5 linked regions of the Macaca mulatta genome follow. The protein of the gene in region 5 binds, or shares a complex with, the protein of the main gene of each other region. Links are inferred from orthologs where the notes say so. Each region holds a gene or a part of one and is shown on either strand. Other genes may lie near its edges.

Region 1 (4,057 bases), on a different chromosome or scaffold from region 5:
GTGCTGGCATGATTTTCTATGATTTAGGTTTCATATTTCATTGGTAAGGGCCTAACTCATAAAACTACAGTTTTATACCTAAATATATAATATCTAGGAGCAGGAGGGGTTTCAATGCTAAAAGATATTGTTGCCATATTCTTTTTCATCTAATAAAGGTAGATATTCTGGAATTTCATTGTTTTATTTGTTAAAGTATAGGTTTCAAGACTTCCTTTCCTCATTTTCCATCCTGAGCTCCTGTGTTACTCTGAACATAAGATAGCCTTTGGGCATGTTTATTCTAAATATCTATGTACTACTGCTGGGTGATCAAAACCCAATAGGATGGACAGCTAAAGTCTACAGGTGTGAGAAGTCTTTGTAAATATAAAACACTACCCATTGTGAAAGGAAAAATATTACAATTTCTGGTGTACAATAGCTTCCAAATATATTCAAATTCTCTTGGGCTGTTTTTAGAAACAAGGTACATAGGAATATAGAATCATAGTTATTCATTAGAGTGTCCTAAGCATCTTTGGTAGGAACTGTTATCCATAGTTTAGCATAGTGGCAATGCAGATTATTTTAGTAATGCCTATATTGAATATACTTCTGCAAACAATTAGAATTCAGAGAAGAATCTTAAAATGTGTGATCAGATAAACCAAAGCAGACTCCACCCCCCAACCTCCCCTCCACCCACCACAAAGAAACATACTGTAGCTCTGCTGGACAGTTCTAAGAAATTCAAGCAAAGAAACTCTAAGGAACTATTGTTGGTACTTAACTCACACCTACCTCAACTCACATTAACTTTAACTTTGAATATTCCAATACGTACCTACATATAGACCCAAAACATATCTATTACTGTTCAAATAATAGTAGAAATATTTTATAAGCAAATTAGTTGAGTCCTTAACCAAAGATCTTTAGAGGTGCACAGTTTTATTTGTTTTTAAAAATTTACAATATATAAAATACTTAAAGTGGGAGAATGCTTCCTTAATATATTTACCTGAAAGTGTTATACCTTTGAGAATTGTCCACCTTTGGTAACCCAAGGAATAACTACAAAGAAATTTAAATGAAATCCTTAAGAAACAAGCTTATTGGATATATCACCTAGTCTATTTTTGGATCGCAAATCGCCCGCCCTCTCTGAGTTATCTCACTGTCAGATAAGAAAATGGAACAGGATTGATGAAAAGATATGCTCCCTGTCTGGCTTTTTGATTTTTCACTCAAGTCAAAAGGAGCAAAGGGCAGCTAGTTAAGGCTCCTTTCCAACCGTGCTCCCGGGAGGGCAAACCTCTGGCCATCTCCGGCTTCGGAGCTTATCCGGGCTGCACGGACCAGGTCCTGCTGACCGTTGCCCACCTCTGCCGGCAACCTCCACACCCACATGAAACCGCCCGTATGTCAGCCAGTTATCGCACGGATTCCTGTGCACAAAGCCTTAGGGAGCCCCCAAACAGAAACAAATTCTGAGCCCAGAGCTGAGATAGAGGTGGTTGGCTGATGAGACTGGTCTCTCTGGGGGTCTGCCAGTGCTAGTTCGTCCCTTCGCCTCTCGCACCCTGACCACAGATCTGTGCCCTGAAATCTCCCTCCTCCCAGACACAGACGTGGGCGCACACACAGACTCTCACTCATGCACACCCACATCGCCTCTGCCCTACACCCTTCCCACTCCAGGCAGGACTGTAGGGACTGGTCCATGCTCTGCCTCAACTTTCCCGGCTGCGCCTGCCCCACGCGGCACCCAAGCTTCCGCGCCCTGGCTGGGCGCCCTCCAGAGGGGCACGTCCTCCTCTGGGCCCCTTACCTCGCACCGACAACTCCTGGCAGGAACTGGAGCTGACCGTGGTGGCAGCGGCGGCGGTGAGCCTGCACCCGGGCTCTGGCTCATGGTTGGTCCTCCTCATCCGACACAAAAGAGGTAGCTTGCTGGCTTTGTCCTTTCCAAATCCAAGGGAGAACTTATTTTGCCCTCGAAATGGCCAACTTGTGCGCGCAGCTTCCTGTCACAGTGCCCCCTGCCCCCGCCCCCTCCCGGCTGCACGCTGGACCACTGCCCGGTGGCAGAGCATCCAGGCATTCGAGTCAGTGGGGAGTGGGAAAACGGAGGGGTGGAGTAGTAGAGATGGAGGAGGTTGGGGAAAGGGGGGACCCAGTGGTCTTCCGCGGAGGGGAGGGGAGCACTTCCCAGCCGAGTCCCCTCCTCCTTCTCTTATCAGGCAAACCCACTTCCTAGGCGCGGAAGCAACTTTCCTTCACCTTGACCAGGCTGAAGCCGTCGCATCTATTTGGGACTCTCGGCAGAAGCACGGACCTCCTGGCATCCTCTCCTTTTCATTCTTTCCTCCCTCTCTCATTCCTCTTTTCCCTCTCCCCCTCCCCCACTCTCCCCCATCCACCCTCCTTTTATAAGGGTATATCTGCAGAGTCTTCAATGAGCCAGGGTACCTAGACGAGAGGATTTTTATATGAAAAGCCAGGGTAGCTTTGCCGACTGCTTTGCCTCACTCTGAAATCCTTAGGCAGTGCATGCAAAGGTCGGTGAATTTCCGAGTGGGGTAAAGGAGCATGGGGAGGTAGGGAGGGTGGCGGCTCCAACTTTAAAGCTCTGCTAGAGCGCTTGGCTTTCAGATGAGCAGGGACTAACAGTCAGTCCTTAGAAGAACTCTCCTGTGGTCCCTGGGCAGGGGGCTGACCGCATGCCAGAGGGGACTAGGAGAGCGGGAACAGAGAGGGAGTGTGAGAGCCAGGGAGGTCGGTGCGCAGCTCAGCCCTACTCGCGACTCAGCTGCACACTGCGAGCCCCTGGAGAGGGTTTGTGCAGAACAATCTCTGGGTCAGGCGGGAGGGAGACGCTCCTGTTTCCTAGCAACCCTTATCAATCTTCTTCCTCTGAAGGAATTCGATTGGACAGCCCCTGGAGAGAAGCCACGCCCATCCAGGAATGCTGGGCTGCTGCTTTTTCGCATTCTCCCAAATTTCTTGGGTGGAATAAGATTATAGGGGACTGCTGAATTATCTTCTTATCCTTTTGTGCTACCACTTCGCCTTCTTAAAGCTACCCCCAGCAACCCCTCATTAGTCCTTCTCTAGTCCTACTATGGTTGTCAGATACAGTCAATGTTTCCTACAGAACCTCTTCTTTCTTCTTAAAATTAAATAAATAAATAGGAACCTTAAATCGATGACGTAGGCACAAAAGAGAAAAAGGCACGTGTAATAGCTTTAATAGGCTGCAAGCTACAGATAAAATCCTAAAGGTAAAATTCCAGGCATCTCTCTATGTCTAGAAACACACACCGTTTAATTTCCAAATTGAAACTTCATTAATTTTTGTACTCTAATATACTAACTTTGTATTAACCAAGGACTGAATTATATGAAGCCAGACACAATTAAATGTAATGTTTTAAATGCTACATTTAGTCTTTAATATTTAATGTTGAGTTGTTTAACAATTGCTGTTTTTGTAACCTAGCCAGAACTTTTAAACTACAGAAATAGTTTTACCTACTGATTCTCTTAGAGGGATAGCAATATTTAAAAGACACATGTGCATATATATATATATATATATATATATATATTTCATTGTGAACTGCACAAAATCCAGAAATTTGAATATATTAAAAATTAAAGTGTTATTATATAGCAAAATGCTAAAAATTTAGAAGTCCCCCTTTCAACATTATTCTTTCTGGAATGCAATAGCATTGACCACATACAAGCATAATTCCTGTTCTTTGTGTTTCATTAGTATTTTCTAGCATGTATTGTTCACCAGAAGATCTTTATAGGAATTTAATTTTAATTTTAAGAATTTATTTATTTTTAACAATGTCTGCCCAATAGACAACTGTATATCAAGTGGCAATTACGTGAACATGAGGAAGATAAAGATTTATACACTGCAGGGCTTCAGATCCCCATGAAGCTGCGTGGGTAGATTTTGGTCTCTTTCAGAACATTCCAGAAGACATCATTTTGCACTTCCATGACCTTATCAGAACTAGCTGGGATTGAGAGAAGCAGAAGAGAGCTGTTGTTTTTG
Region 2 (3,998 bases), on a different chromosome or scaffold from region 5:
AGTGTACTAAATTCCACTGAACTGTATGCCTTAAGCTGGTTCATTTTATGGTACGTGAATTTCACCTCAAAAAAATAATCACATATATATGATTAAGTGTATCTCTCATATAGTGAGTTCTTACCTCATATAATGAGAGACACATTTAATCACATGCTAGATATGGACATAGCCAGAGTCTCCAAAATACAGGATGGCAAAAACTGACATCTTCATTAGAAGTAACAGAAAAAGTAAACAAAATAGAGCTCAAGAAAAAAAAAAACAAAAAAACTCAAATATTTGCTGAAGTGCCTCAAAAATCAAGCTGCTCCTTTGGGGGAGAAAATGTTCCTTCAGAAGAGCCAGAGAAATAAGCAAAGCCATGACGGAATTTGAACTAACACTACCTTTCTACCAGATCAAACCAGACAAGTCACGGCTGTTCTGAGGATTTATGATATGGCCTAAGGCCATTGTTAAACAACAAAGCTGCCAGAGTCAAAGCACATAATCACTCTTACTTGCCCTGACCAGAGTGTGATGTCACTGCATTTCGGAGTAGGCCTCCCTGCACAGGATTACATATCCAGATTTAACATAACCTAGTTTCTATGAAATATAGGTTGTCAAAGTCCCTCCTCTCCTATACCTCCCTCCAGTTCCCTAAAAGAGAAATTGAGCAGCAAAATAAGATTAATACCTTGGGTAGAATAAGGTCAAAAAAAATTAATAGGATCTTAATTCAAATGGCTCTCTGGGAAGCCAAATTAGTTCGTAAAGTCCCTAAACCCTTCTTTTCACAAAGTTGGATTTTACAAAGCTCAGTGCTCACAGTAAAAAACAGAACAAAGTTAACCAAATTATAAAGCAGAAATGTCATTCCAGTAATCTTTTATTGTAAGGGTGAGAGGTGCCAAATTCATTTCTAATCAAATATTCAGTAATAATGCAAAGACAATAGCATCATCAGGTATTATTTTTCTCATAAGAAATTACGACACAAAAGCTAAAATCACCTGTGATTTCTACTTAGACTACAAAGTAGCTTCTTAATATTATATAGAAGCAAAGGAGTTCAAAAGTTTTACATCTAATTCTTAACCAAAATAACATTAAACTCTGGAAAACTTAAGCCTGGAAGGAAAGAAAGGACAAGAGAAAGGAGAAGGTGCCCTATTTAATATATTCCTTGCTCAGCTTGGTTCAAACCTGTGCCTAAAAAGTTAGTACTTCAAAATATGGATCTTTTAAGGACGGAAAGAATGAAAGAACTGGACTTGAGTTTCTTCATATACAGTCAGAATATTAGATTTATATTGATTTTACCACCCAGCTTTTAGTGAGGATGCTTGCATTATACATCACCCTTTCTGCTTCCTTGAAAGTTTCAACGGTTAAGATACCTGCAAACAGTTCTCACCTTACCAGCACGCTTAGTCATCACTGGAATGTGTTACACGTTTTCTTATAGAGCTGCACCTCCTTCATCTGCTACTTTCTATTATTACTTTGTAAGTGTACCCTGAGGCTAAGCAATTCAAGTATACAAGGAAGGTAATTAATAATTTAAATTGATTCTCATTGAGACCACCTTCTTTCTTAGTCATTCTGCCTTTGTAAGTTTAATGCATTTTCTTTTAAACCACAATGGTTACGATAAGTCTTTGGCGGTTTTCAAAACATTTTTTCTTTTCAAAAGTCAAGTTTGGCTGGGCGCTCTGGCTCACGCCTGTAATCACAGCACTGTGGGAGGCCGAATAGGGAGGATCGCTTGAGCCCAGGGGTTCTAGACTAGACTGGGCAACACAGTAAGACCCTGTCACTGAAAATATAAAAATAAAATAAAATAAAAGTCAAACGTTTAATGAAGCATCCGCGTGAGTTCAATGAAAGCCTGTCCCCCCACCCCACCCCTCCAACAGAAGACTGCTCTTGAAAATAAGCAGCATGAACAAATTATTTGGATTCAAATGATAAGGAAATAACAGTAAGTTCCAGTTTCTTTACTTTCAGCTTAATCTACAGCCTTTCCCAAGCCAGACCATTCCCGCAGAGCCCAGAAAAAGAAGAAAAAAAAAAAAAAAAGGTGGGTTAAGATTTACCCCCATTTGCTTCCCCCTCTCTTACATCGGGTCAATTCTGGAGGTTACTCTTCCTCCAAGAGTCAGGAATGCCTCTTCTTTCCCCAAGTGGTCAAGATTCTAGCGATATGCTCCTCCATTACGGAGCAGGGAAGAGGTTGTCTCTTACCCTCAAGTTACTGGACAGACGACGTTCGCCCATCAATGAGCAAACGGGTTTTTCCCTTTCGCTTTTGCTGGACACGTCTCAGACTCTTAGTGACTCTTAGTGAACGACGCCGAGCGGGGAAGAAAGACGGTTCCCCCCACGGCCTCCAGGCTCTATCAGCCACACCCCTGGCCTCTGGTCCTCCTAAACCCCCAATTCCGAAGTACATCTTACCCTCATGCCCCCAACTACTTGCTGCCACACCCGAGGATTCCCTCACCGCACCACAGTCATCATGGTGGAGACCCTTTCTCCAACCTTTTTCCTCTCACTGGTCACACCCGACGGTTCCCTGTATCCTCAACGGTCACGCTCTTAGGATATCCTCGCTTCCGCCGGTCCTCGACCCAGCCTGGGGTTCCCCTTCTTTTCGTCCCCCACCCCGTCAATTAGGGACACACCCCAAAGGCAGCCTCCCTGAACTCACCGGAGGCGGAGGCGAAGTCGAGGGCGGGGGTGGCGGCGGGAGCCGGAGAGCACAGCCCGGGTGGTGGTGTAATGGTTTCCTGCCCGTCACGATTCTTTTCTAGGTCTAAGCCACTGCGCAAAACCCACTTTGCCAGGGACAAAGATGGTGGGCAGGAAACTCTGACGTCAGAGAACCTCGCCGCGTGACGTCATCGGGGTGCGCGGGAGACCTAGCAAGGCGGTAATCTCTGTCGCCTTCCAGCCCCAAACATTTCCCATGGTCCCAGCAAAGCTGGCCCATCTGGGCCTCAGAGGATGTTAAGTGGCTACTCCAAAGGAATATATTTAAAACGCTGACAATGGATTTGTTACCTCGCACAGAAATTCTCTGAAAAACGTAAACACAGAGATGATGAAATATCCTGTTCCTTTGTGAAAAAACAAAACCCCTCAGCTCATTTTCCTTCCAGGCTCAAGAGCGGACAATGGTGATATAACCCAGGGCTATATACGGGCAGTGGGGCTAGAGGATAGTGGTGCAGGTAAAAGAGGTTGAGGAGGCATTGGATGTGAGTTTGAATCCCTACCCTGAATGTGACTGGGAAAGTTAATGTCTCCTCAATCTTCTTATCTGTGAAATGAAGACAATGATAGTATCTCTCTCGGGCATGTGAAGCGTAAACCAGATAAATTAGGTCAAGTGCCTAGTATATAATAGGTGTGCTTACACAAAAGTAAGTTTCTTTCGGAAACTAAGACCTAGATTCCAGGACCTGGAACTGGAGAACAAGATTGATGAGGTTAAATGAACTAGCTGTCCCTAAGGTTAATTTCAGGGTGTAAGGAAGGATGGAGAGCAAAGTGATTATTTATTTTTCTCACATTTTGCCCATGAACTCTGTGAGTCAGAAAGTGTTTAAGTATTTTAAAACTTCATTCTTAAAAAAGTGATCAGAAGTACATTAAAATTTTGTATAACATACTCATGTATTATTATTTCCTGTTATTAAAATAGAGGAATAGGGGAAATTGGAAAGCCAGGTATAAAGAGAGATAATGTAAACACTTATGGTAAATCAGATAGCTGCATAATGTTATAGAATATTTTATGACAGAAAATTCATAAAGTGTTAAGTAAAAATAGGATACAAAACAATATAGTATATGGTATGACTATATATGTATAGAAAAAAAAGGCTAGGATAGGCCAGTCATGGTGGCTCACACCTGTAATCCCAGCCCTTTAGGAGACTGAGGTGGGCAGATCACCTGAGGTCAAGAGTTTGAGACCAGCCTGGCCAATGTGGTGAAACCCCGTC
Region 3 (4,117 bases), on a different chromosome or scaffold from region 5:
ATTTCCTTTGATGCCAGGATTTCTAAGCTGTGATGTTTGTGAGCTGCAGCTCCCTGACAACAGTATCAGGCTTCGGTTGAACAGAGAAGCCCAAAGCAGGGCGAGAACAGATGAATAAGCATGGAGTCCCACTGCCAGCCATCAGCTCAGGAGCCTTGAATTCTCCTAGCTGGGTGGGCCCAGGAGGGGGTTCCTCAGCCTCCCACTTCCCTCAACACCCTGCAACGCCTGCCCCAGCCTGCCCAGGTTTCCTGCTCCCAGCACAACAGCTGCAGCCAGCAACGTCCACAAAGGCCAGGCTGGTTCCCCAGCCCTGCACACACGCAGCAGCAGCTCTACCCAACCTCTCCCAGGGGTTCTGGGGAGGAGGGAGCAGGGGAGGGGACGGGGAGGGCCTAGAGAAGGGACAGTAGTGCCCTGGGGGCTCCTGGGCAACCCAGACATGCAGGGGACAAGCTTGTGCCTGGTCACCTATGCCAGTGCTACCAGTGCTATGCCAGTGCTACCAGGCGCTGCGGGGACAGGGAAAGGACAAGAATCTCGCTCTCACGTGGCTCCCGAGCCAGGGGCAGGGGCACCCTGTGAGGCGCTCCGAGGGAGGGAGTGTGCAAAGCCTGCAGGGCCTGTGAGGAGGCCCTGACGCGTGCTGTGGGGCTGCCCCTCCCAAATCCTGCTGGGGTGTGGGCTCTCAGGGTGACTTCTGATGACAAATCCAGGCAGTAATAAGGGACCCAGGGGATCACATCCCATAGCATCATGAGACCGGCCCAGGGTGCCAGGTGCGGGGCCCTGAGTGGGGAGGGTGCTGTTCTGGGCACCTGCTTTCCGCCCTCCCTCATTAACTCCTCCCTAGACTTTGATGAAACCATCTGTGGCTCCTGGCCTCTGCAGGACCCAGCCCCTCAGCTCCTCAGCCTCTGCAGGACCCAGCCCCTCAGCTCCTCAGCCTCTGCAGGACCCAGCCCCTCAGCTCCTCAGCCTCTGCAGGTGTCCCTCGGTACTGCCTCACGCCCCTGCCCCAGGTGATAACTATGCCCTGAGCCCCCACCATTCCCACTGGGCATATCCCAGAAATACGCATTCACAGACCAGGCACGCCCATGACTGCAGCTAGATTTTAAAAGGAATCACAAGAAATGTAATCTCTAGTGGTCCTGGAGCCCCCCTGGGCACCCAGCTTCTGGCACCCTGTGGACACCCAGGAGTAGGGGGGCGGCCCAACCAGCTGCGCAGCCGCCCAGCCCTGCCAGCGGGGAGCTTCCTCCCTCCCTGCCCTCCGGATACACCCTCACCCCCACTGAGCGAGCCCAGGGTTGGGGGAGGTGCATAGTTCCCTTACTAGCCGGAGCGAGAAATTGCGGAGAACAGGGAAAAGGGTGGCAGGAAGGGCCCGGTGCACGATACCCGCCGCACCCGCCCGGAATCCTGGTTCACTGGAGCGCTCAACCCAGCCCGCCCTGCCCCGGGGAGCGCGAGGGGGCGACCCGCCAGGCTGCACCCGGGTGGGGCGGGGACGACAGCGGGGGCTGCCTCCCTCCTCCGCCGCCACCCCCAACTGCTGGGCGCGCCGCGCGGCCGCCGGCTTCGTGGAGACGCGCAGAGCCGGGAGGGCGCGGGCGCGGCGGGAAGTGTGCGGGGCTAGGGTGCGCGGAGAGCGCGAGGGAGGAGATTCGGAGCGAGGGAGGGGAGCGCGCCGGGGCAGCCGTGCGTGCATTCCTCCCGGCGCCACAAGCTCGCCCCGCGCAGCCCGAGCCAGGCTGGGCGCTGTCCTCGGGAGCCTGGGGAACCGCGCGATTTGGAGATCAGAGGCACCCGGAACCGGTGGCAAGCGCCGAGCCCGGAGACAGCCCGAGGAACCGCGGAGTCTGGAGCCAGGAGCCCGGAGCTGGGAGTCCGGAGCTGGGAGTCCGGAGGAGCGCGGAGCCCGGAGCTCGGGGCGGCGCGTCTGGGTCTGGCGCTTCCCGGCTGGACGGCGCGCCCGCTGGTCTTCGCCACGCGCCCTCCTCTGGGCTCCCGTTCATCGGTCCCCGACTGAGACGTGCCCAATCCGCCCGGACTTCCAGCCCCGGAGGCGCGGGACAGAGCCGCGGACCCCAGCGCCCACCATGCGCCTCAACAGCTCCACGCCGGGAACCCCGGGCACGCCGGCCGCCGACCCCTTCCAGCGGGCGCAGGCAGGACTGGAGGCGGGGCTGCTAGCCCCGGGCTTCAGCAACGCTTCGGGCAACGCGTCGGAGCGCGTCCTGGCGGCACCCAGCAGCGAGCTGGACGTGAACACCGACATCTACTCCAAGGTGCTGGTGACCGCCGTGTACCTGGCGCTCTTCGTGGTGGGCACCGTGGGCAACACGGTGACGGCGTTCACGCTGGCGCGGAAGAAGTCGCTGCAGAGTCTGCAGAGCACGGTGCATTACCACCTGGGCAGCCTGGCGCTGTCCGACCTGCTCACCCTGCTGCTGGCCATGCCGGTGGAGCTGTACAACTTCATCTGGGTGCACCACCCCTGGGCCTTCGGCGACGCGGGCTGCCGCGGCTACTACTTCCTGCGCGACGCCTGCACCTACGCCACGGCCCTCAACGTGGCCAGCCTGAGTGTGGAGCGCTACCTGGCCATCTGCCACCCCTTCAAGGCCAAGACCCTCATGTCCCGAAGCCGCACCAAGAAGTTCATCAGCGCCATCTGGCTCGCCTCGGCCCTGCTGGCGGTGCCCATGCTGTTCACCATGGGCGAGCAGAACCGCAGCGCCGACGGCCAGCACGCCGGTGGCCTGGTGTGCACCCCCACCATCCACACCGCCACTGTCAAAGTCGTCATACAGGTAAGCCTCAGTAACCAGCCCCGGGGCTCCCCTCTCCTTCACCCCAAAAGCAACGCCAGTGGTGTGCCTTCTGGGTAGGGAGTGGGAGAGAGGTCACAGAGACAGTCTACTCCTGTGAGGCTGCGAAGGCGGTTGGGGCAGCTTGGGTGCAGCTCCGGAGTTGCCAGGCTCAGCCCCTATCTTCTCCCCTCCTGTTGAGGGGATGGAGCCCCTGCCTGTGACCTCCCTGGGGTTGGTGGCTGGGCCTCCGACGTCTGTGAATTCCTTAAGTTCTAATGGAAACATGTGCGCTGGCACCTGCGTCTCCAAAGGAAGGGGTCCCTTTCATCAGCTTCTCAAAAGGCTTTGTGCCCCCAACAGGTTACGTTCCTCTCCTCTGCAGAGAAGCCCCCAGACTGACTCTGCCAGTGCCTCCCAACTGCCTGCCCTGACCCAAACTGGGGAGTCCCCACACTGACTCTGCCGGTGCCTCCCAACTGCCTGCCCTGACCCAAACTGGGGAGTCAGAGCAGAACCTGATGCCATCTTGGGCTGGTTCCTAGTTTAGCCTCAGCTTTCCCATCTGTATGATGGGGTAGTCTTAGCATTGACCTCAGAAGGTAGAGCATTTGAGAGAGAATGTATGGGAAGTGTTTGCATGGCCCCCGACACATAGAAGCGCTCACAGGTACTATTACTGCTGGATGGTGGGGACGATGTTTCTGCTGGGAAGGTTGTGAGGCTCTGCGGGTGGTGGTGGTGTTGTGGTGAGGTGCGTAAAACTGGAGCCGAGTGACCAAGGGCCCCCCAAGGGTCTGAGCAAAGCGCCGTAGGAATGCAGGTGGGAAGCCCCCTTGGGAATCAGTTTGGCTGAGGTTCGTGGCTGGAGGGGAGGACTGATCAAACCAAAGTCCCGAGCCGGAGGTTGGTGTCCAGGGAGGAAGTCAGGGCTGGTCGGGCACTTTGGATGGCACCTTGGACACGAGCAGCCTTCGAGGTGTGGGGTTTCTTCCATTTCTGGTGGGCTAAGGAAGCCAGAGGGTGAAGGATCCAGGCAGAGTCGCCCACCTCTGCCCAGCTAGAGGGGCTGGGGTGGCTGGCTGTCCCCCTGGCTCCCGACACACCAGCATCAGCAGCCTCCCAGCTAAGCTTCTGTAGTTGCCTGGGCAGCCCTCATATGCCAGTGTGCCCGGTGGGGGTGGGGGCAGCAGTGCCGGGCAGGGCGTCACCTGGGCCCTAACTGACCCTCCACTGGCCACCACCCAGGTGGACTGGGGGGTGGGGGGTAGAACTGAGCTCCCAGTCTCCCCGGCTGCACA
Region 4 (3,509 bases), on a different chromosome or scaffold from region 5:
CCTTCACTCTATCTCTTGAGACAAAAACCTCTCTATTAGTCACAGTGGTTTTTTTTTATGTCTGATAAACTTAAAATATTGCATTTAAAATATTCTTTTGTTTCTTAAAGGAATCTGCAAAACCTCCTTATCCTCACCGCAATTAAAGCTGACCGTACACGTGTTATGGAGTATATTAACCGCTTGGATAATTATGATGCCCCAGATATTGCCAATATCGCCATCAGCAATGAGCTGTTTGAAGAAGCATTTGCCATTTTCCGGAAATTTGATGTCAATACTTCAGCAGTTCAGGTAAATCTTTAGATTACCTAAGTTGAATTACTAAATGTAATGTCTTCTACTCATTCAGTGTATGCACTGTCCTGTGAGGGTGGGCCTAATTTGTTCCTATGGCAATAGAAGAGCAATAAAATACTAACAGCTTAAATGTAATTGCTCTGGGTAGGATTGATTTTACTCTAACCCCAATTTCAAACTTGGGTACTTAGGTCTTAATTGAACATATTGGAAACTTGGATCGGGCATATGAGTTTGCTGAACGTTGCAATGAACCTGCGGTCTGGAGTCAACTTGCAAAAGCCCAGTTGCAGAAAGGAATGGTGAAAGAAGCCATTGATTCTTATATCAAAGCAGACGATCCTTCCTCCTACATGGAAGTTGTTCAGGCTGCCAATACTAGTGGTATGACTTCTTACCTTATGTATTGAGACCTCACAAAATGATTAAGCTAAGCATTAAGATATCTGTCTGTTCTGAATTGTAGAAGAGTTGGATACTGCATGGTTTCCTGTGAAAACTTTTAGTACTCCATCTTAGTCCAGATAAAAAGAGGCTGTATTTTGTGAATTTGTAAGTTCACAAAACTTACAAGTGGGGAAGATAAATTTTCTGTTTTTGAAGTCTCATAAAATCCTGATAATCCTCTAATCTTACAACTTTAAGGAAAAAGAGAATTCTTCTATTCATTTGGTCTTTGATAATACAGAAGTGAAATATTGCACAGTTTACATTTGTCATTATCCATGTTTCCTTGAAAAGGAAATGAGCAATTTTCATTTACTTGGGTGAAAGGTAAACTGGGATGTTAGTGTTTGGATATATTTTTTCTTTTTCTATACTTAGGAAACTGGGAAGAACTGGTGAAGTACTTGCAGATGGCCCGTAAGAAGGCTCGAGAGTCCTATGTGGAGACAGAATTGATATTTGCGCTGGCTAAAACAAACCGCCTTGCAGAGTTAGAAGAATTTATCAATGGACCAAATAATGCTCATATCCAACAAGTGGGTTTCCTTTTCAGATTTAAGAAAAACTAGTTGGGCTACTTGATTAGCTTGGTAGGATCAAAACATCATAACTGAAGAATTCCAAGGAAAAATCTACAGGAAAACAAATTATTTCTCAGTGTGAAGGTATGAATATGAAAAGAGGATTAAGCTCACACTAATATCTTACTGAATATGCGTTACCTTTTTTTTTCCAGGTTGGTGACCGTTGTTATGATGAAAAAATGTATGATGCTGCTAAGTTGTTGTACAATAATGTTTCCAATTTTGGACGTTTGGCATCTACCCTGGTTCACCTGGGTGAATATCAGGCAGCTGTTGATGGGGCTAGGAAAGCTAACAGTACTCGAACATGGAAAGAGGTAATCTAAACCCAAGTTTGAGTGAAGAATTAAAGAAACGCTCTGTAAACATTAGTTTAAACAACTAGCCATGTTTACATTTGAGTTCACAGAAAGGAAATGTTTATTCTAGGTCTGCTTCGCCTGTGTAGATGGGAAAGAATTCCGTCTTGCTCAGATGTGTGGACTTCATATTGTTGTACACGCAGATGAATTAGAAGAACTTATCAACTACTATCAGGTAATTAACAAGAAACTTTTATATGACCTGAGATCTTTTACCATAGATACTCTTTAACTGCACATTTCTCTTGTTCAGGATCGTGGCTATTTTGAAGAGCTGATTACCATGTTGGAAGCAGCACTGGGACTTGAGCGAGCTCACATGGGAATGTTTACTGAATTAGCTATTCTATACTCTAAATTTAAGCCTCAGAAAATGAGGGAGCACCTGGAGCTGTTCTGGTCTAGAGTGAATATTCCCAAGGTAACCAGTCATTGTAACACAGTGAAGCAACTGTGTAGTTAAAACTAATACTTCAAAATATCTTATTCTTTTTAAGGCTGTTAGCTAGACTCATATCTAAAGCAATTAAGTCTTTCTTATGCAGGTGCTAAGAGCTGCAGAACAAGCTCATCTTTGGGCAGAACTGGTGTTTTTGTATGACAAGTATGAAGAATATGATAATGCCATAATTACCATGATGAATCATCCAACTGATGCCTGGAAAGAAGGGCAGTTCAAAGATATCATTACCAAGGTGTGTACTTTCTTCAGAAGATAAAGGATTCAGAAGGAGAAAGCTCATTAGGAAGTAACTGACTTATATATGGATTTTCCCATTATAGGTTGCCAATGTGGAACTATACTATAGAGCAATACAGTTCTATTTAGAATTCAAGCCTCTGTTGTTAAATGATTTGCTGATGGTGCTGTCTCCACGGTTGGATCACACTCGTGCAGTCAATTATTTCAGCAAGGTAAAGTAATAATTTTAAACCAAAGCTTCATAGCAAGGAATTAGGACATATTAGGATAACTTTTGTCCCTGGGACTTCAATAATGTGCTATATTTGTAACAAACTCTTTATTTTAAAGGTTAAACAGCTACCACTGGTGAAACCATATTTGCGTTCAGTTCAGAACCATAACAACAAATCTGTGAATGAATCATTAAACAACCTCTTTATTACAGAAGAAGATTATCAGGTAAAACCTTTTGATTCTTGCACATAATCTTAAGACTCATAAAGTTACATTTTCCCATTTTTCAAAAACGCCATTATCATTTAGGATTGTAAACAGTAGTTGCTTGCATTCCTAGGATCTAAATTTAGTAAGGTTTCAGGATTGATAAATCTTACTTCTAATTAAGTGCCAAGTTTTCAGAATTTTGCTCAGATCTTGTATAAGATACTGCTTTTGAAAAAAGATATGATTACTTTATCTCTAACATCTAGATTATAGGTAGAGTCAAAAATGTCTTTGATCACTTAACTAGTTCATAAAATTTATTTGATATTAACTATATTCACCATTTTTCTTTCCTACTGTTTTATTAGTATTTGTATAAACTTTATCTTACGAAGGATTTCGCATAAGCAAAAGTCAAGTAGAGTGAAGCTTAAGCTCCTTGCCTTTTTTTCTCTCTCTTGATTTTCTTTGAGGCTCCGTGCATGCAGATCTTACTGCTGCCATGCTGAGTTTTATCAGAAGTTTCTCTAGGGAATAAAATCTTGCCCTCCAGGCCAGGCGCGGTGGCTCACGCCTGTAATCCCAGCACTTTGGGAAGCCGAGGCGGGCAGATCATGATGTCAGGAGATCGAGACCATCCTGGCTACACAATGAAACCCCGTCTCTACTAAAATACAAAAAAAAATT
Region 5 (4,190 bases):
AACTGATGTGGAGAGTGGCAGGACCTGGCCTCACCATCCTGGTTAGGGATCTCCTGTCATCAAAAAGATTCTAGTCTGCTCCTTTCCAGATCTCTGAGCCCTGCAGAAACAACAGGTGGCTTCCTCTTCTTCCCCTGTGGAGGGTGAAGCCCAGAGGCCAAGACTGGGAGGAGGGTTCTGGGCCTTCCTCCATATTCTCTAGCTCCTAACATTGCCCAGAGGTGGGCCACCCTGCCTACCCATCAGCCTTCCCCTGCCCCTCTGCCAAATCTGGACATAATTATAGTAATGATACTGCATATAAACAGTATAGGTAACTGCTTCTGAGCATGATTACAGGAGATGTTTACACACTCACAACAGCATCAGAGTAAATGATAGCTTCCTCCCTTAATACTTAGACCTTTCAGGGATAGTTAGCCAAATCTCAGCAGTGAGGGTGTGGGAAAGACCTTACAATTTCCCACTACCTGCAAAGCAGGAAGGCACCTCAGACAAAGCAGCGTCCCAGCCAAGATTTCACAGGACATCAAGAAGCCTGCAGAGAAGTGGGCTAACATCTACTGGGCACCTACTGTATGCAGGCACTTGGGGAGGCCAGCAAACAAGCAAGTTCTTTCAACCTATTAATTCTGCAGGCTGATATTAGTGTATCCTCACTTTACAGGTGGCCATGGAGCTAGGCATGGGCACTTTCCACGGTGCTACCCGGTCACATCAGCGGGCCAGCTCTGCCCTCTTCCTTTATCGCCTCTTCTCACTTCTCGCAGCTTCCCTTTCCTGGGCGGCTTCCTGCAGCCCTTGCTGGTCGCGGGTCTCCGCTCAGTTCCCCAGTGTCAAGGCCGTCTACTGCCCCCTCCACCCCTTCTTCCTGTCTCTGTTGGGTGACTGGGTGTTATCTCTCCAGTAGAAGGGGGTGGGGTGGGGTGGAATGGGGAAGGGTGGAGCACAGGGCGAAGGCCTTGCCAGGCATCCCGGGGTCTCCAGCTAGGCGAGCGGCCGCAGAGAGCGCGGCCTCGGGGTCGCCAGACCCTCGGCTTCCAACCACACGCACACACAAAGGCTGCCCCGGCATGCGCGGGAGAGCGCGCTCGCACCCACGGCCGTGCGCACACACGCACAACTGCACAAAGACGTGCACACTCCTCCATCCACACCAATACACTCCCAATAGGGCCCGCACACAGCCGTGCGCCCTCACGTACACCACACCACCACCACCATACAAACACACACACACTCACTCATACGGACTCGCACGCGGGTGGACCCCTCCCCCACCACAAACGCCGACCTTGGGGCCTTGACGCGTCCTGCAGCGCTGCCCCGGCTCGCTGGGCGGCGCGCGCACACGCAGACGCACGAGCGCGCGCACACACACACACACCCCGCGCGGTTCCACGCCCCTGACCGCGGCCCGGGCGCTGCGCTGCTCGGCGCGGCGGGAGGCGGGCGGGGACCGGGGGCGGGGGCGGGGGCGGGGGCGGGGGCGGGGGCGGCGGCGGCCGGGAGAGCGGAGAAGGCGGAGCAGGGAGCCGGGAGCGGGCTGGCCCGCGCTCCTCCTGCTGGCCGGGGATTTTCCAGCCTGGGTGCTGACGCCGCGGACCTCCCTGCGGCCGTCGCGGACCATGGGCGACAAAGGGACCCGGTGAGTGCAGGGCGGTCGCCCGGCGTGGGGCGTGTGGGGGCGACCTCGGCGAGGGCACGGGCGGGGGCTCCGATTGCGTCCTGGTTCTGTGTTCGCGGCCATCCCGGGATCTAGTACCAGCCCTCCTCCACCCGAGGTCTCCTGCGTGGTCTCCCCGGCAGGGCCGTGGGCGAGGGGGACCCAAAGGGCGAGGGCCGGGCCGCCCCATGTGGGCCGCGGCTCCTGGCCCGGACACACTCACAGCTTGCTGATACCCAGCATTGGCCGGCAGCCGCAGAAACGCGCGGGGGCAGGTTGACACACAATACACGCACGGGCACACTAACCCGTGGCACAGGCATGCTGGCGCACACACTGGCAGCCACTGGCACACGCTCATCACACACAGTGGCACGCCGTCATACACGCCTCGGTCAACACATTCTTGCTTACAGCCTTGTTGGCATGAACAGCTCACACTCCAACACACACCAATTCTAACACACCCTCGTGCTAGCACACACGTGTGGGCATACACTGATACGCAAACTGTCACCTGCACTCGCTGTAGCAAACACTCTTGCTGGTACACACATCACCCTCACTAGCACACACACTTGTGCTGGCATGTCTCACCAACACAGTGGAGCGCAAGGCCACACCAACACTGACCCCCACAGACACAATCAGACTAATGCTTGCAAAGACTGGCACCCCGCAGGCACGAGCTGCTAGCCGGAGGCCCGCTGACACACACGTTCCAGGCCCCACATGGCCAGAAGTGGAAACACACATCACACGGGGTAGAACGCTCCCCACTGCCCCCAGCCTGGGGAAAACAGATCCCATCCCATCCGAATAGATCGCATCCATCTACTCTGTTCCCTTTCCCTCTGACCTCCTGAGGAGTGGCTGGCCAGGGGCTGTTTTGAACCTAGGGCTGGGAGAACCCCTCCCGTTCTAGAACCTGGCCTGAAATACTCAGAAAGAAACGGTCTATGCCTCTGAAAGGGGAAAGTGGGACAGAAGGAGGAGGGGGCTGGAGCAGGACAGCCCCTGGGGGCAGCCCTTCAGACAGGACCAGCCCTTCAGACAGGACCAGCCCTGGTCAAGGGCTCAGCATTGCCACCCTATTTTCCCCGTTGCCCTCCCCACCCAAGTGGGCACAGCAGCCTCTTCCTGGGCTCCCCCTCTTTCTCATTGTTTTCTGTCTTTCTCCTCTCCTATTCTTGTGCCTGACTTCTGCCTCCTCCCTTTCCTCCCCTCTCCTCTCCTCGGTTCCATTTATTATTAAGCTCTTGCTGTATACTAGGCATAGTGTGGGTAATCAAAGATGCGCAAGGCCCACTCCTCTGAAGGAGCTAACAGACTAGAGAGACACACCCCAGTGGGCACCACCTTTCAGGGCCACTGACAAAGCCATTTCTCACGTACTGCCATCTGAGACTCTCTCTCAACAGTGTGAGAAAGGGCTTCCAGAGATTATTTCTATTTTCTAGAGGAGGAAACTGAGGCTCAGAGGCAACTTAGGCTCTTAATGTTTAGAAATTACTTTCCAGCCATCCTCCTGACAGCTCTTCCAGGAGGTTAATTTTCCTCTTCCTGTTTTCTAGCAGAGGAACCAGAGAGCTGGAGAGGTCATGTGATTTGCCTAAGGTCAAAAGAGGCCAGAGGCAGGGCAGAGGCTGGAGTCCACTTGGTCATGTCTCTGTGGATGGCCCTAGGGCACTACCAGGCCCCACATGGGCCAGGGAGGGGTGCCCTGCTCTGTGCTGGAGGCCCAGGCTTTGGGGGAGACAGCAGAAGATCATGCTGTGTCTGCATGCATCTTGATGGCTAGTCCCCATTGCAGCTGGCTGGCCAGCACTGTGACCTAGGCCTCTGTCCTCAGTAGGAAGGTATGTGACTCCCTCCCCAGCCACATCCATCTTGACCCATGAGGTCAGGCTTTTCTTCCTGCAGGGTATAGCAGGGAGTTGGAGCCATTCTCCACTCCTCCTGTCCTTCCTAGGCTGCCTTGTGATTGGGGTAACTCAGCCTCTCTTGGGTCTCTCTGTACCTCTCTGTGACTTGGGGGATAAGTGTCATTGCTGTCCTGCTGACATGATTGTCAGGAAGATGTGGACACCATGGGCTTCCAGGCACCTGTTGGAGACCCTGTCTCTGAGGCCAAGATATTTTCCATGACTCCCCCTGCCCTGCCTTGAACTCACTGCTGGACCGTTGGGACACTGGGCAATTGCCTTTACTTTTCCGGACCTTAGTTTCCCATCTGTAAACTGGAGCTATCAATACTTAACATTTTAAGGCTTCTCTTGTACTTACTGACTTCACTGGGCAGGGGAAGAGGCACTGCCTGAAGCCTGGAGCCAAGGCCCAGCTAAATCCACCTGATAGTGGCCCTGACCTCCCCCTCAGACTCTCCTGCAGCCCCATGAGGGCTTTCTGTCCCTTTCCAGACAGTTTGCTAAGTAATTTGGAAAAGAAGGGCAAAATCGGTAATGGGCTGTACCTTGTCTTTTTCCGTAAGCCATGAGATTCTACTTTATCTATGACTTAGAGG

The links.
Region 1: the proteins of ARRB1 (region 5) and GRM3 are in contact, whole or in part, in a cryo-EM structure (PDB 9II2), measured with the Homo sapiens proteins. The link is inferred for Macaca mulatta from reciprocal best matches to the Homo sapiens genes ARRB1 and GRM3. Residues at the interface, in NP_004032.2 of Homo sapiens: Gly5, Thr6, Arg7, Val8, Phe9, Lys10, Lys11, Ala12, Ser13, Pro14, Tyr21, Arg25, Arg65, Glu66, Asp67, Leu71, Gly72, Leu73, Thr74, Phe75, Arg76, Lys77, Arg103, Leu104, Lys107, Pro133, Arg236, Phe244, Asn245, Thr246; in NP_000831.2 of Homo sapiens: Pro605, Lys608, Ala609, Ile669, Phe670, Asp671, Gly672, Val673, Lys674, Asn675, Ala677, Gln678, Arg679, Lys681, Phe682, Ser684, Cys761, Pro762, Glu763, Phe765, Val834, Val835, Thr836, His837, Gln855, Ser856, Ser857, Ala858, Ser859, Thr860.
Region 2: the proteins of ARRB1 (region 5) and AP2B1 are in contact, whole or in part, in a crystal structure (PDB 2IV8), measured with the Homo sapiens proteins. The link is inferred for Macaca mulatta from reciprocal best matches to the Homo sapiens genes ARRB1 and AP2B1. Residues at the interface, in NP_004032.2 of Homo sapiens: Asp384, Asp385, Val387, Phe388, Glu389, Phe391, Ala392, Arg393, Arg395, Leu396; in NP_001273.1 of Homo sapiens: Arg834, Gln835, Phe837, Leu838, Trp841, Lys842, Asn846, Glu849, Ile876, Ala877, Arg879, Val881, Glu882, Gln884, Tyr888, Glu902, Arg904.
Region 3: the proteins of ARRB1 (region 5) and NTSR1 are in contact, whole or in part, in a cryo-EM structure (PDB 6UP7), measured with the Homo sapiens proteins. The link is inferred for Macaca mulatta from reciprocal best matches to the Homo sapiens genes ARRB1 and NTSR1. Residues at the interface, in NP_004032.2 of Homo sapiens: Tyr63, Arg65, Asp67, Leu68, Val70, Leu71, Gly72, Leu73, Thr74, Phe75, Arg76, Lys77, Asn245, Thr246, Ala247, Gln248, Tyr249, Lys250, Lys284, Arg285, Gly286; in NP_002522.2 of Homo sapiens: Ser93, Leu94, Gln95, Ser96, Leu97, Gln98, Thr100, Val101, Arg166, Ile170, Pro173, Lys177, Phe286, Ser287, Met288, Ala289, Ile290, Ala297, Leu298, Gly301, Ser368, Asn370.
Region 4: the proteins of ARRB1 (region 5) and CLTC are in contact, whole or in part, in a crystal structure (PDB 3GC3), measured with the Bos taurus proteins. The link is inferred for Macaca mulatta from reciprocal best matches to the Homo sapiens genes ARRB1 and CLTC. Residues at the interface, in NP_776668.1 of Bos taurus: His30, Ile31, Asp32, Leu33, Val34, Glu35, Pro36, Pro96, Thr98, Arg99, Tyr173, Pro175, Lys355, Thr374, Asn375, Leu376, Ile377, Glu378, Leu379, Asp380; in NP_776448.1 of Bos taurus: His12, Leu13, Gln14, Gln16, Asn17, Leu18, Gly19, Val50, Asn56, Asp57, Pro58, Ser59, Asn60, Ile62, Arg63, Arg64, Pro65, Ile66, Ser67, Ala68, Lys78, Ile80, Leu82, Lys83, Ala84, Thr87, Gln89, Phe91, Asn92, Ile93.

Annotation. Positions count from the first base shown.
Region 1 is NC_133408.1:132,761,639-132,765,695, forward strand, and holds the start of GRM3 (metabotropic glutamate receptor 3), read right to left. Parts: upstream 2,806-4,057; 5' UTR 1,814-2,805; intron 1-1,813. UniProt on the Homo sapiens protein: G-protein coupled receptor for glutamate. Ligand binding causes a conformation change that triggers signaling via guanine nucleotide-binding proteins (G proteins) and modulates the activity of down-stream effectors.
Region 2 is NC_133421.1:45,058,200-45,062,197, reverse strand, and holds the start of AP2B1 (AP-2 complex subunit beta), read right to left. Parts: upstream 2,806-3,998; 5' UTR 2,446-2,805; intron 1-2,445. UniProt on the Homo sapiens protein: Component of the adaptor protein complex 2 (AP-2). Adaptor protein complexes function in protein transport via transport vesicles in different membrane traffic pathways.
Region 3 is NC_133415.1:115,518,399-115,522,515, forward strand, and holds the start of NTSR1 (neurotensin receptor type 1), read left to right. Parts: upstream 1-1,311; 5' UTR 1,312-2,105; coding exon 2,106-2,819; intron 2,820-4,117. UniProt on the Homo sapiens protein: G-protein coupled receptor for the tridecapeptide neurotensin (NTS). Signaling is effected via G proteins that activate a phosphatidylinositol-calcium second messenger system.
Region 4 is NC_133421.1:50,301,854-50,305,362, reverse strand, and holds part of CLTC (clathrin heavy chain 1), read left to right. Parts: intron 1-110; coding exon 111-294; intron 295-491; coding exon 492-684; intron 685-1,125; coding exon 1,126-1,283; intron 1,284-1,483; coding exon 1,484-1,648; intron 1,649-1,760; coding exon 1,761-1,868; intron 1,869-1,946; coding exon 1,947-2,114; intron 2,115-2,238; coding exon 2,239-2,388; intron 2,389-2,476; coding exon 2,477-2,608; exon of another isoform or gene 2,609-2,613; intron 2,614-2,726; coding exon 2,727-2,837; intron 2,838-3,509. UniProt on the Homo sapiens protein: Clathrin is the major protein of the polyhedral coat of coated pits and vesicles. Two different adapter protein complexes link the clathrin lattice either to the plasma membrane or to the trans-Golgi network.
Region 5 is NC_133419.1:75,743,723-75,747,912, reverse strand, and holds the start of ARRB1 (beta-arrestin-1), read left to right. Parts: upstream 1-1,390; 5' UTR 1,391-1,628; coding exon of another isoform or gene 1,629-1,648; exon of another isoform or gene 1,649-1,679; intron 1,680-4,190. UniProt on the Homo sapiens protein: Functions in regulating agonist-mediated G-protein coupled receptor (GPCR) signaling by mediating both receptor desensitization and resensitization processes.